3 linked regions of the Coturnix japonica genome follow. The protein of the gene in region 1 binds, or shares a complex with, the protein of each later gene. Links are inferred from orthologs where the notes say so. Each region holds a gene or a part of one and is shown on either strand. Other genes may lie near its edges.

Evidence for each region.
Region 2: the proteins of TIMM22 (region 1) and TIMM10 are in contact, whole or in part, in a cryo-EM structure (PDB 7CGP), measured with the Homo sapiens proteins. The link is inferred for Coturnix japonica from reciprocal best matches to the Homo sapiens genes TIMM22 and TIMM10. Residues at the interface, in NP_037469.2 of Homo sapiens: Tyr25, Ser26, Leu28, Leu29, Gln30, Tyr31, Leu32, Val33, Arg40, Leu42, Leu47, Gly48, Glu67, Glu144, Ser145, Tyr146, Gly148, Ser150; in NP_036588.1 of Homo sapiens: Pro3, Ala6, Gln7, Leu9, Ala10, Ala11, Leu13, Glu14, Val15, Met17, Met18, Ala19, Tyr22, Ser44, Lys45, Gly46, Glu47, Arg53, His62, Glu63, Gly66, Leu69, Thr70, Ser73, Met74.
Region 3: the proteins of TIMM22 (region 1) and TIMM9 are in contact, whole or in part, in a cryo-EM structure (PDB 7CGP), measured with the Homo sapiens proteins. The link is inferred for Coturnix japonica from reciprocal best matches to the Homo sapiens genes TIMM22 and TIMM9. Residues at the interface, in NP_037469.2 of Homo sapiens: Asp35, Arg37, Gln38, Pro39, Arg40, Leu42, Gly45, Ser46, Leu47, Gly49, Ile50, Ser52, Pro53, Lys60; in NP_001291414.1 of Homo sapiens: Gln13, Glu16, Phe17, Thr20, Leu57, Thr60, Gln61, Met65, Phe67, His71, Gln74, Asn75, Leu78, Lys81.

The regions. Positions count from the first base shown.
Region 1 is NC_029534.1:5,110,300-5,114,561, forward strand, and holds the start of TIMM22 (mitochondrial import inner membrane translocase subunit Tim22), read right to left. Parts: upstream 2,898-4,262; 5' UTR 2,883-2,897; coding exon 2,528-2,882; intron 1,808-2,527; coding exon 1,611-1,807; intron 648-1,610; coding exon 575-647; intron 1-574. UniProt on the Homo sapiens protein: Essential core component of the TIM22 complex, a complex that mediates the import and insertion of multi-pass transmembrane proteins into the mitochondrial inner membrane. In the TIM22 complex, it constitutes the voltage-activated and signal-gated channel.
Region 2 is NC_029520.1:7,775,215-7,777,897, reverse strand, and holds TIMM10 (mitochondrial import inner membrane translocase subunit Tim10), read left to right. Parts: upstream 1-1,533; 5' UTR 1,534-1,601; coding exon 1,602-1,672; intron 1,673-1,844; coding exon 1,845-2,046; 3' UTR 2,047-2,133; downstream 2,134-2,683. Other genes in the region: SMTNL1 (smoothelin-like protein 1), read right to left, coding at 1-574.
Region 3 is NC_029520.1:50,193,360-50,197,536, reverse strand, and holds the start of TIMM9 (mitochondrial import inner membrane translocase subunit Tim9), read right to left. Parts: upstream 2,906-4,177; 5' UTR 2,808-2,905; intron 2,777-2,807; exon of another isoform or gene 2,754-2,776; intron 2,724-2,753; exon of another isoform or gene 2,672-2,723; intron 2,042-2,671; exon of another isoform or gene 1,582-2,041; intron 226-1,581; 5' UTR 196-225; coding exon 157-195; intron 1-156. Other genes in the region: KIAA0586 (protein TALPID3), read left to right, coding at 2,998-3,145, 3,961-4,040. UniProt on the Homo sapiens protein: Mitochondrial intermembrane chaperone that participates in the import and insertion of multi-pass transmembrane proteins into the mitochondrial inner membrane.

The sequences.
Region 1 (4,262 bases):
CTGCCTGGGGCTCTTCTCCAGATGTTAACAGTCAAAGCTTCCCAAGAAGTCCCCTCTAGGTCCTGCTGGACTAAAATCTCAGTGCTCCTGCTCTTGTACAGCTACATAGAATTGCCTCTTTGAGACAGGAGAAAGGAGGGAGGCATTGTACAAGCTGATCAAGTTAACAGAGTTCCTGCCAGTGAAACAATATATCTAAGTAGAGCTCTATTAACACAAGAGCTGTAACTTCAGCGAGTTGCTCAGAACATATTTTTGGCTCCCTCTCCATGACACCCCAGTAGCATGTGGAGAGCTACCAGCACCATTTCCTCATTTGCTTTCAAGTCACTTCTGTTCATTTCTCTCCGCTCTCCCTGTCCTGTACAACCAGCCTTCCCTACCCACACATATCTTTCAAGATGACAGGAAAGAGACAGAGATGACAGTTCTGCCAACTTCAAGCACATTCTCATGCTGACATCAACATAACCCCATACAGAGAGATTTGCAGCGTGCGTTGCCTTAAAAATGCTGCTTGTTACCATCCCAAATTGCTGCCTTATCACAGCAGTTGCTACCAGGCATCACCAACCTCTGAAGCCAATCGCTCCTCCTGTGATGCAGCCACTAATAACGCTGTTCCTCCAGTCTGACTTTCCACGATACTGTGGAGTTAAAAAACAAGAGACAACAAGTAAACATGGAATAACAATTCGACATCTGTACTAACACCAAGGGAGGTGAAGCCTTCCAGCCCTGTTTCAGATGAGGATGCTTTTCCTTCTGCTCTCAGCAGATGGCCCCCCTGCACTGTAAAAGTTTTTATGTGGCCAGGAGGAGGGGAAGGAGCAGGTCAGCAGGAGAGGTAAGACACATCCGCATGGTGCAATGCAGTGCTACAGCACACTCTCAGATGAGCCCATACAGCCCCCACAAGGCAGCACAGTGCACCGGCACCAGCTCACAGACAATTTAAAGGCACTGTGAGCACAGCATGGCCATGCAGCCATGAGAGCAAACAGCAGCCTGCGGGCAAACATTAGCTATTAGCTAGTTTTTCACCAGTGCAACGTGTTTGTTCTGCTTCGTTGTGCACACAGATACACTTTTCTTTTACACGGATTAAGAACTAATTGTGTTTTTCGATTGAAGGACAGTACTGACATTCATAACAGGCTCATCTTCCTATTTAAGAAAACGGGTGATAGCTTTACCACTGAGCAGCACGAGGTCGTTTCCTGCTGTAGGGGCAAGATGAAAACAGCCCTATTACTTCAGATCTTTCATCAAAGGATCCCTTTCTTCACATGTACTTTTTAGAGGCTCAGATGGCCACGTTGCAACTCCCAGTTTGATGTTTTAACACAACTATGAGTTGTTTGGAGCTAAAGTTTCAAAAATCAATGCCAAAATCCAGGACTTGAACTGGAAAGCTCTTCACTGTTGCATGCAGCTCTGCTTATTCCAACACAGAACAGTTCTGAAAACCTTTAGAACTGAAAAGCTTAAATGATCAAGAAGCAAAAGGCAACGAGCCAATCCCTCACCACAGTGGTTTGGACTCATGAAAGGCGCTCAATGGTGTATAATAAAAGCTCCCATAGTAACGTTTGAGGGTCGTTACTCACCGATTCCACCACGCACTCGGTGCAGGAGAACATGGCGCCCACAATGGCGAAGTTCTTGGCGTAGGAAATGCCGCGCTGCCCCATGTCCTTCAGCACCTCCTTGGCTGTCGGGGTGCGATACGGGTCCTTGGGGTCGAAGCCCACATTGGTGTCGATGCCAGCAGTGAAGATCCCAAAGGCTCCTCCAAGAACAAACCCTGGGGAAGACAACAGCTATGAAATGAAGCTCTGGATTGGAGCAGTGATCCAACACTCACAGGGTTAGAGCTGCTCTGGTCTTAAGGGCAGCATGAAGGGCTGATGTGCTGCAGACACTGATCTGATCACAGAATCACAGAATTGTAGGGGTTGGAAGGGACCTCTAGAGATCATCAAGTCCAACCCCCCTGCCAAAGCAGGCTCCCTACACCACATCACACAGGTAGGCATCCAGGTGGGTCTTAAATATCTCCAGAGAAGGAGACTCCACCACCTCCCTGTGCAGCCTGTTCCAGTGCTCCGTCACCCTCGCTGTAAAGAAGTTCTTATTAAGGAACTTCCTATGCTGTACTTTCATCCCATTAGCCCTAGTCCTGTCCCCACGCACTACTGAAAAGAGACCAGCCTCACCACTATGGCCCCCACACCTCAGGTATTTATAAACCTGGATCCAATCCCCTCTCAACCTTCTTTTCTCAAGGCTAAACAGACCCAGTTCCCTGAGTCTCTCCTCATAGGGGAGATGCTCCAGGCCCTTCACCATCTTAGTGCCCCCTTTAGTGCAGGCACACAGCACAGAGAGTTCTATCTTAAACTGGAGGGGAAGGTGGGAGCCCCTTCCCCGTGTCCATGGGCTGGAATTGCCCTTAAGATCTGACAGACCCTCATCCCCCCCCTCAGCCCCAACCCAACACCGTGTGTCCCCCACCCCCCCTCACCCCCCACGCAGGCCAAGGCCGCTTTGAAGGCGCAGCTCTCCATGGCTCTCTCCACCATCTTCTGCTCGTCGCTCTTGTTCGGGCAGGGGATGCCCCCGAAGCTGTTGGGGTCCCACACTCGGGGTCGGCGTTGCTCGCCCACCAGGTGCTGCAGCACAGCGCTGTATTGCAGCGGAGGCTGCGAACCGCCCGGCGGTGCGGCCGCCATTATTGTCCTCCGCGTAACGAGGAACCGGCAGCGCGGCTTCCGTAGCGCGCGGGGGTTGATGGGTGTTGTAGTTTCACTAACAGAGACTCCCGCTGTGAGGCGCGCTGCCGAGACTCCATTTCCCAGCGTTCCCCGCGGCAGCGCCATGACACTGAACTACAGCTCTCGGCGTGCTTTGCGGAGAGACACGCGATTGGCCGCGCTGAGGGCTGGGAGCCCCGTTACCCGGCGTACAGCGCCCCCTGGTGGCCATTGGGGGCGGTGCAGTGAGGTGAGCGCTCCGGCTGCACGAGCATCCAACGGGGCGGCAGCGATAAGAGGCAGCGATAGGAGACTGCGATAAGAGGCAGCGATAGGAGGTGAGAGCGGCTACGGGGGGGATGGAGCGGGGATGGGACGGCCACGGGGATGGGGAGGGATGAGGAGCCGCAGTGCGGGGCCGATCTGCCTCCGGTGTGTCGTTAAGCTCGGAGGGGTCGTTAAGCTTTGAGGGGTCGCTCCGTTCCCGGAGTGACTTCTATCTTTAGGGATAACAGCTCAACCTCAACACGGGGCTGAGAGCTGCGGGTCCTGCCGTGGTCGTTCTGCACAGCCCCGGGCTGAGCCCTGCGGGTGGGTGTCCCCCTCGTAGCACTCAGGGCTCAGCTGAGCTGTGCGTGGTGCTGGGATCATCCTGCGGCCCATCCGAGCAGCACTGCGCTGCCCCGGGCACACGGAGAGGCAGCTTGACATCAAAGGTGCTTAGAGAGCAAAAAAAGTCTGTCTTTTTGTCATAAAATGCAAACCGAGCTCGCAGCGAGTCATATAGAAACCTCAGCCCTTCCGCGCTTACCCTGTTTGGTAGCAGGGTGGGAAACTCTTCTTCTGTGCCCCCCCTCAGCTGAACGAGGAGGAGCTGCCAAGGTTTAAAGCCTTCACCCACACGCTCTGTGCCTTGTGTTGCTGTTCTGTGCAGCAGGAGCAGCGCTCTGCTCAGCCCAGCACGATGCAGGTGGGTCTGCTTGGAAGGAATAGCCTGGTTGGCTTCAATGTTGGCTTGGTTTAACTTTAGAAGTTGCCCACAGGTTTTGAAGCCCTGAGGTGGTTTCAGCAGATGAGATGAGGTGGCTTCAGATCGTTGTGCTGAGAACTGAAAACGATATCAAAGATCTGTTGGTTGTTCTTAAGTGATGTGTTAAGTGTGACATCTTCCTGATGCCATTCATTGCTCTGAATGGGGACTGCTTAGAAACCCAAAGGATCCACAATCATTTATTTTCTATTTCTTTTCATTTTTAACATTTCTTGCCCTGTATCTTGTCTGTGCTGGATACGCAGGTTCAAATAACAACCTGGTTTGATGGTTCTTCAAATGAAGTGATGGTGTTATTTTCAATAACTTTCCTCTTTTCCTATTAAATTCCACTGCCCTCTGCTGGCTGGACCATCAGACCTGCCCAGAGCTCTTCCCCCACTATTCTTTTACTCTTTAAGGCTTTTTATATCTTAAGGTCAGAAGCTGTTGCAAAGCTTGCTGTTAATGTCTAC
Region 2 (2,683 bases), on another chromosome or scaffold:
CTACAGTGTCCCCCTTAGCCTCACTCACAGCATCTTTTGCAGCCTCCCCCTTAGCCTCACTCACAGCATCCTTTACAGTGTCCCCCTTAGCCTCACTCTCAGCATCCTTTGCAGCCTCCCCTTTAGCTTCACCCACAGCATCCCTTGCATCCTCCCCCTTAGCCTCACTCCCAGCATCTCCTGCCATGCTGACCTCACTCACAGCATCCCCTACTGCCTCCCCCTTAGCCTCACTCCCACAGTTCTTCTCTGCTTCTACCTCGCCCCCAATCCTCGTATCCCCTGCACTCTCCCCCCCAGCGCCCCCTTCATCCCCCCCAGCCTCCCCCTGCCCTTCCTGTGCTGCACTTTCCCCGCTGTCCCCCCCCACCATCCCCTCTGTGGGCCCTGTTGATGTCTGTGTGAGGTCACCCAGGGCAGTGTCATTTGGGGTTGGGGCTCCATCGGTTGTTGTGGACTCCATGCTCCTACTGTGGGCTGCAGGGTTGTCACTGAAGTATCCACCGTGCCTTCCACCCCATGCAATCCCATTGCACTTCTGTCCCTCAGCGTTCCTCCTGCCCGCCCACCCCATCGGCCCCAACACAGCTCCCAGTCCCCATCCCATCCCCATTATTTATCCCTTCCCATCCACCTCGACCCAACCCCCACCCCCCACTCCTGTCCCCAAACCCCTCCCTCCCCCCTGCACACCCCAACCCAACCCATTCCCCATTCATGTTTTCCTCCTGCCCCCTCCCAGCTCCTCCAGCTCAGTCCCAACTCCACAACTCACTCCCTACCCCCAACCCCGACCCCCCTCCATCCCGTCCTATCCTCGTTTCTCACCCCAAACCCCCGACGTCCCCCCCAGCCCCCCGGCGCCCCATATCCCGGCTCACCGCTCTCCGCTCTCCCCGCGGCCGTGTGACCGCCGCAGGTGCCGCCTTCAGTCAGCGCCGACGGGGCGGGTCGGGGGCCGGAGAGGGGCACAGCGGGGAGGGGACGGGACGGGACGGGGGGGAGAGGAGGCCGGGCGGGGCCTGGGGATAGCGGGGACTGCGGGATGGAACGGGGACACAGGGACACGGACACGGGGGGACGCGTGCACGTGAGGACATGGGGGGACGTGGAGGCGATATCGGGGGGATATGAGGGTCACGAGTGGGCACGGAGACACGGCACATGGAGGAGATGGGTGATGCGTGGGACACGAGGGGACACGGGGGACACATATATGGGAGAGAAGGGTGACAAAGGGAACACAGAGTGCCCTGATCTGTGGGGGGACATAGGGGACACATTGACATAGAGGGACACGGGGCCATAGACCCGTAGCAGACACAGACACGAGGGGGCAGAGCCGTGAGGGCAGACCCACGGGGACACGCGGAGGTCACGCGTGGGCCGGGCCGGCCCCGATCCATCCCTGCCCTCCATCGCCTGCCCCCGCCCACCCCGCTCCGCACCGCTCCCCACGTCCCATCAGCGCTGAGAACGAGCCGTTGTCCCGCCCCCACCCGTCTCCTATTGACCGAGAGCGGCGGCGGGGCGGAGCGCCTGAGCGTGTGGGCGGAAGCGCGTCCCACGTGCATCCTGCGGGAGCGCGGTGCGGGAGCGACATGGACCCGCTGCGGGCACAGCAGCTGGCGGCAGAGCTGGAGGTGGACATGATGGCCGACATGTACAACCGGTGCGCGGCCTGACGGGACGGGCCGGGGCCTGGGGGTAGTGCCCGGGACAGGGAGGGGCTGGGAGAGCGAGAGGCGCGTGGGTGTCGCGGGTGGGGGCTGTGCGGGGGCTGTGCGGGTGCCGGGGGTGGGGGGTGCCGGGCAGAGCCGTGGGGTGACGGTGTTGTCCCTCAGGATGACGCAGGCGTGTCACCTCAAGTGCGTGCCCCCACACTACAAGGAGGCGGAGCTGTCGAAAGGCGAGAGCGTGTGCCTGGACCGCTGCGTGGCCAAGTACCTGGATGTGCACGAGCGGATGGGCAAGAAGCTGACGGAGCTGTCGCTGCAGGACGAGGAGCTCCTGAAGCGCATGCAGCAGGGCACGGGCACCGCCTGAGCCCTCCCTTCGGACTCCCCTTCCCATCGTACCAATAAACTGGAGGCTCTGGGCCAGCTGTGTGCTTCCCTCGGCCCCCCAAACCCGTCTGTGGTGCTGTGTCAGGGGGTGTCCCACTAACCTACTGGAGATGGGGGCACCCCGGCGTGTCTGCTGTGCCCACGTCAGCCTCGGGGATAGGCTGAAACCTTCCTTATCCCTTATGGGGTCAGGACAGGGCTGTGCCCCTCACTCTGCTTGCTGGGGGGACACTGGGGAGCACCTGGAGAAATGGCCACAAAGGGACACCTGCAGGGGGGCAGTGAGAAAACAGCACACCTGCATGGGGACAGGCACAGAGACATTTGGTATGGATGGCTGGAGAGGGACAGTGCCCTTTCCACACCTGGAAAAGGACCACACAGGGACACCCACGTGGGGACACTTAGGGGGGGACACCTGGATGGAAACAACCCCAGAGCCACACATACAGATGTGCACACATGTGTAGGGAAGACCTGCACAGGGTTACTAGATGGGAACACCCAGCCAGAGACACCCCAGCCTGGGGGTGGGCACTGTGTGTCCATCCACCCGTACACACACAGTGCGCCTGTGCCGGTGTGTCCCCGGGGCTGGCTGGAAGTGGGTCAGGCTG
Region 3 (4,177 bases), on another chromosome or scaffold:
TGGGATATGTGAAAATGTTGCTTGATAAAGAACTAATATCATCTCAGAGGACAATATAGAGAGCTTTTCCTTCTGCTCCATGCACTGTACATTTTACTCTATGTGACAAATTAATAGAAGATGTTCAAATGCACTGCTGACAAACACAGCACTCACCTGCTTGATCTGATCAGTTTCTGATATCTGTCCGGCCATATTCTGCTCCCTGAGATTCTGTCACCTGTTCTGAAGATATAAGTTGAGTTCTACACAAAAAGCTTATGCACAGACAACAACATTTTTGGAGAGAACCAAGCTGAACGTGTTCCTTAAGGTTACTTAAATGCAATGGTGCCAGCAAGCTTTCAAACCACCCATTCAAAGTTATCTGACCTGTATTCAGCTAGAAGAATATCCCAGATAGTTCAAGATGCTGAGTTCTTTCCAGATCTACCTGCTAACTGCTGTCCTTTAAACACTTCATAAGCATTTAGAACAGCTGAAATGACTATACAGGAGGGTGAAGAAAGGTATGGAATTTTTATAAAGGCTTTCAAGTGCATGAAGTAAAACTGGAGTGGAGGAGAAGCAAGCAGTAATATTATGTAGCCTTTTAATTCAGTGCCTTTAGCTGTCATTTAAAGAACAGGCAAAAAAAATATGAAACAGTGCCAACTTTGAATGAACCAGCATGGATCAGAAATGGATGAATGGACTCAATGCAGCTGCATTCTCACCAAACACTTAAACTAGAGTCAGTGTTCTGGTCATTGAATATAGCAAATGAAATGCAATAAATGGGAACAGAATGAGGGCAGCCTTAAAGAAAGAAAAACAGATCAATGAAAAGGGAAGAATGAGCAGCCAGGGATCCAAGAATTGAAGCAAGCATCCTTAAGGATGGCTTGCATTCCTCATAAACAAGTTAAGGCTTGAATGTACATCTCTAGGCAGCCTTCAATCGTAATGAAAGCACGCCTTCCTTTCCCATGCCTGATGTATTACCAAGGTCCATCACCCGTGGTAATGCCAGTTAATGTTACACCCTGAAGAGAAGATGATCCTTCAGTCTTATTCGCAGTAATGCGTGGAAGAGAAGTCAGTGCCAAGCTAGAATCTCTTTGTGAGGAAAGCTTGTTGTGAGCACAGCTACTAATTATTCTGAACAAGAACAAAAAAAGAGTTATTTCTACAAGGGAAAGCAAATGAAGCAACTAAAATAGCAAAGCAGAGCTCCTGCAAACATGCAGCCACCCTCCTCCTCCCAGCAGTGGAGCAATGGTAAATAGCTGCTTCTTGAAGTTATGCTTTGTTGCTACATAGGAAGAACAGAGCCATAGAATTCAGGGATTGAAGATAAGGAATGCATGTGGTTCTTGGGTTTAAGATATCCATCCCTGCGACCAGGAATGCCTCACAAGTCAATAGATCACAGAATCATAGAATTACTCAGGTTGGAAAAGACCTTGAAGATCTTTAAGTCCAACCGCAGCCTAACCAGAACCCTATCTCTAAAAACCCTACACTAAATCACTCTCTTTTAAAGAGAACCTATGAAATACAGAGAAGCAAAGCATTGCTGAAGCCATTGTAACCTCTCACTTGCATTAAGCGGACACAGTTGTCATCTGGGAGAACAACTGAAATGGATGGCAGTTCTACTCTCCCATTTCTGTCTGTTACAAGAGAAAGAAAACCAAGAGTGAGAACGCTGCCAATCCACTTTAAGTTGATGATTAAACAGGCAGCCCAAGCCCACAGACAGCAGAGGAAAGACTTTTGTCCTCTTCAGCTTCAGACCCTCCCAGTGCCTTTCTCACACTCAGCATTGCTTCACTGTGTCTGCATACAACAAACCTGAAATCTTCCACTTCTGTCACTTGCTTGCCAAGCTTAACATTACGTATAATTGAGCTGCTGCTTCACAAAGCTTGTACACTTGCACTTGGGAAGCAGCTCTGACTTAAAACAACCCGATGGCACCATCTCATTTTACACATTTGAAGCACCCTCTGCAAGCATTGTGTGCACCACAGGCTTATTATTACACAGAATTACAGAACTGTAGGGGTTGGAAGGGACCTCTAGAGATCATCGAGTCCAACCCCCCTGCCAAAGCAGGCTCCCTACACCATGTCACACAGGTCAGCGTCCAGGCGGGTCTTGAATATCTCCAGAGAAGGAGACTCCACCACCTCCCTGTGCAGCCTGTTCCAGTGCTCCGTCACCCTCACTGTAAAGAAGTTCTTATTAAGGAACTTCCTATGCTGTACTTTCATCCCATTACCCCTAGTCCTATCCCCACACACTACTGAAAAGAGACCAGACTCACCACTAAGGCTCCCACACCTCAGGTATTTATAAACCTGGATCAAGTCCCCTCTCAGCCTTCTTTTCTCAAGGTTAAACAGACCCAGTTCCCTAAGTCTCTCCTCATAGTGGAGATACTCCAGGCCCTTCACCATCTTAGTGGCCCTCCGCTGGAAATATGGCTTTTGGTGCATGGTCAAGGCCTGTTGATGACTACAAGGCCACACTCGTCTCGTCCTTCACTCTTCCAGCCTCATGTGCATAGCACCCATAGGGTTATAAGCCATTCCCTCGCTGCCCCCTGGCGGCGCAGTGGTAACGCGGCCTTATGGCCCGCACGGCCAGGCCTTCCCAAGGGACAGCAGGGCGCTTCCAGTCCTACCTGATGCCTCAGCCCATAACAGCACAGAGATGAAGCCCCTCACTCGTTCCCCACACCCCTCAGCTCTCCTGTTCAAGGGCACCTTGTGCTCCCTGCCCACACCGCGGCCCTTCCCCGCCGCCCTGAGCGCACTCACCGCCACCAGCCGGAAACACTCAGCTCTAAACCCGCCGATTCGAGTCCCTGGAAGGAAGTACGTCATCAGTGCGCGACCCAGGCTGAGCGGGCGCTGTTACCATGGCGGCTGTCGCAGCGGCCTACCCTCACACGGCCCTTAGGGTCTGCCTTTAAAGCACCGCCCATAGCTGCACCGCTATGAAGCCTGCATGGAAGCGGAGAGCAGCTCCAGCCGGGACTCTCTGGTCAGCCTGACTGCAGGCGATGTGCTCATTCGCTCCACCAGCGTCCACGGGGTGAGAGCAGCAGGAGGATTTTACAGCTGTAAAATTGTCGATGTCGCGACCCGCAGCGCAGGTATTTATTGGTTACGTGTTATTTGTGTCCAGGTGTGGAGCCCTCAGTATAATAAAGACATGGAGATTTTGTTAAAGGTCCAGAGGAGGGACAGGAAGATGATCAGGGAGCTGGAGCACCTCCCCTATGAGGACAGGCTGAGGGAGTTGGGTTTGTTCAGCCTGGAGAAGAGAAGGTTGCGGGGTGACCTCATTGCAGCCTTTCAATACCTGAAGGGAACTTACTCCCAGGAGGGGAGTAAACTCTTGGAAAGGGCTGACAATAGCAGGACACGGGGAAATGGTTTTAAGTTAAAAGAGGGAAGATTTAGGTTGGATGTCAGGAGGAAGTTCTTCACTAGGAGAGTGGTTAGGCCCTGGAACAGGCTGCCCAGTGAGGTTGTGGATGCCCCGTCCTTGGAGGTGTTCAAGACCAGGTTGGACGGGGCCCTGGGCAACCTGATCTAGTAAAGGTGTATGTTTGGTGGCCCTGCCAGGCAGGGGGGTTGGAACTACATGATCCTTGAGGTCCCTTCCAACCTGGGTTCTGTGATCTGCATGAAAACTGCCTCTGGTAGCATTATGTAAACCATTTCCATTTCATAAGGTTCAGGTAGATAACTGCGGTCATTTGTGTGATGAGAGTTATATTTAGATCTCTATCACAGAATCACAGAATGACCCGGGTTGGAAGGGACCTCAAGGATCATGTAGTTCCAACCCCCCTGCCTGGCAGGGCCACCAGGCAGAGAATAGACTGAGATTTGGGTTAATCAAGGGGTAACGACAACACGTTCAAGATCTCTTTAACCGCAGTAAAATTGCTTTTATTTTCAGGAGTCCAGTGTACTAAGGGTCACCCAGAACATTTGCTTGTAGTGGAAGATCCTGTGGAGGCCATTTTTGTACCACACATGGTAAGAAAGTCACTGTTGCTTCCCACAGCCTTGAGCAAAGAGATCAGCATCTGGAGAAGCACAGCAGATCCTGAGCTCTGATTCTGCACGATAAGTTCCCAGTTGTTGCTAATGTGATATTCATGCTGAAGCGTTTG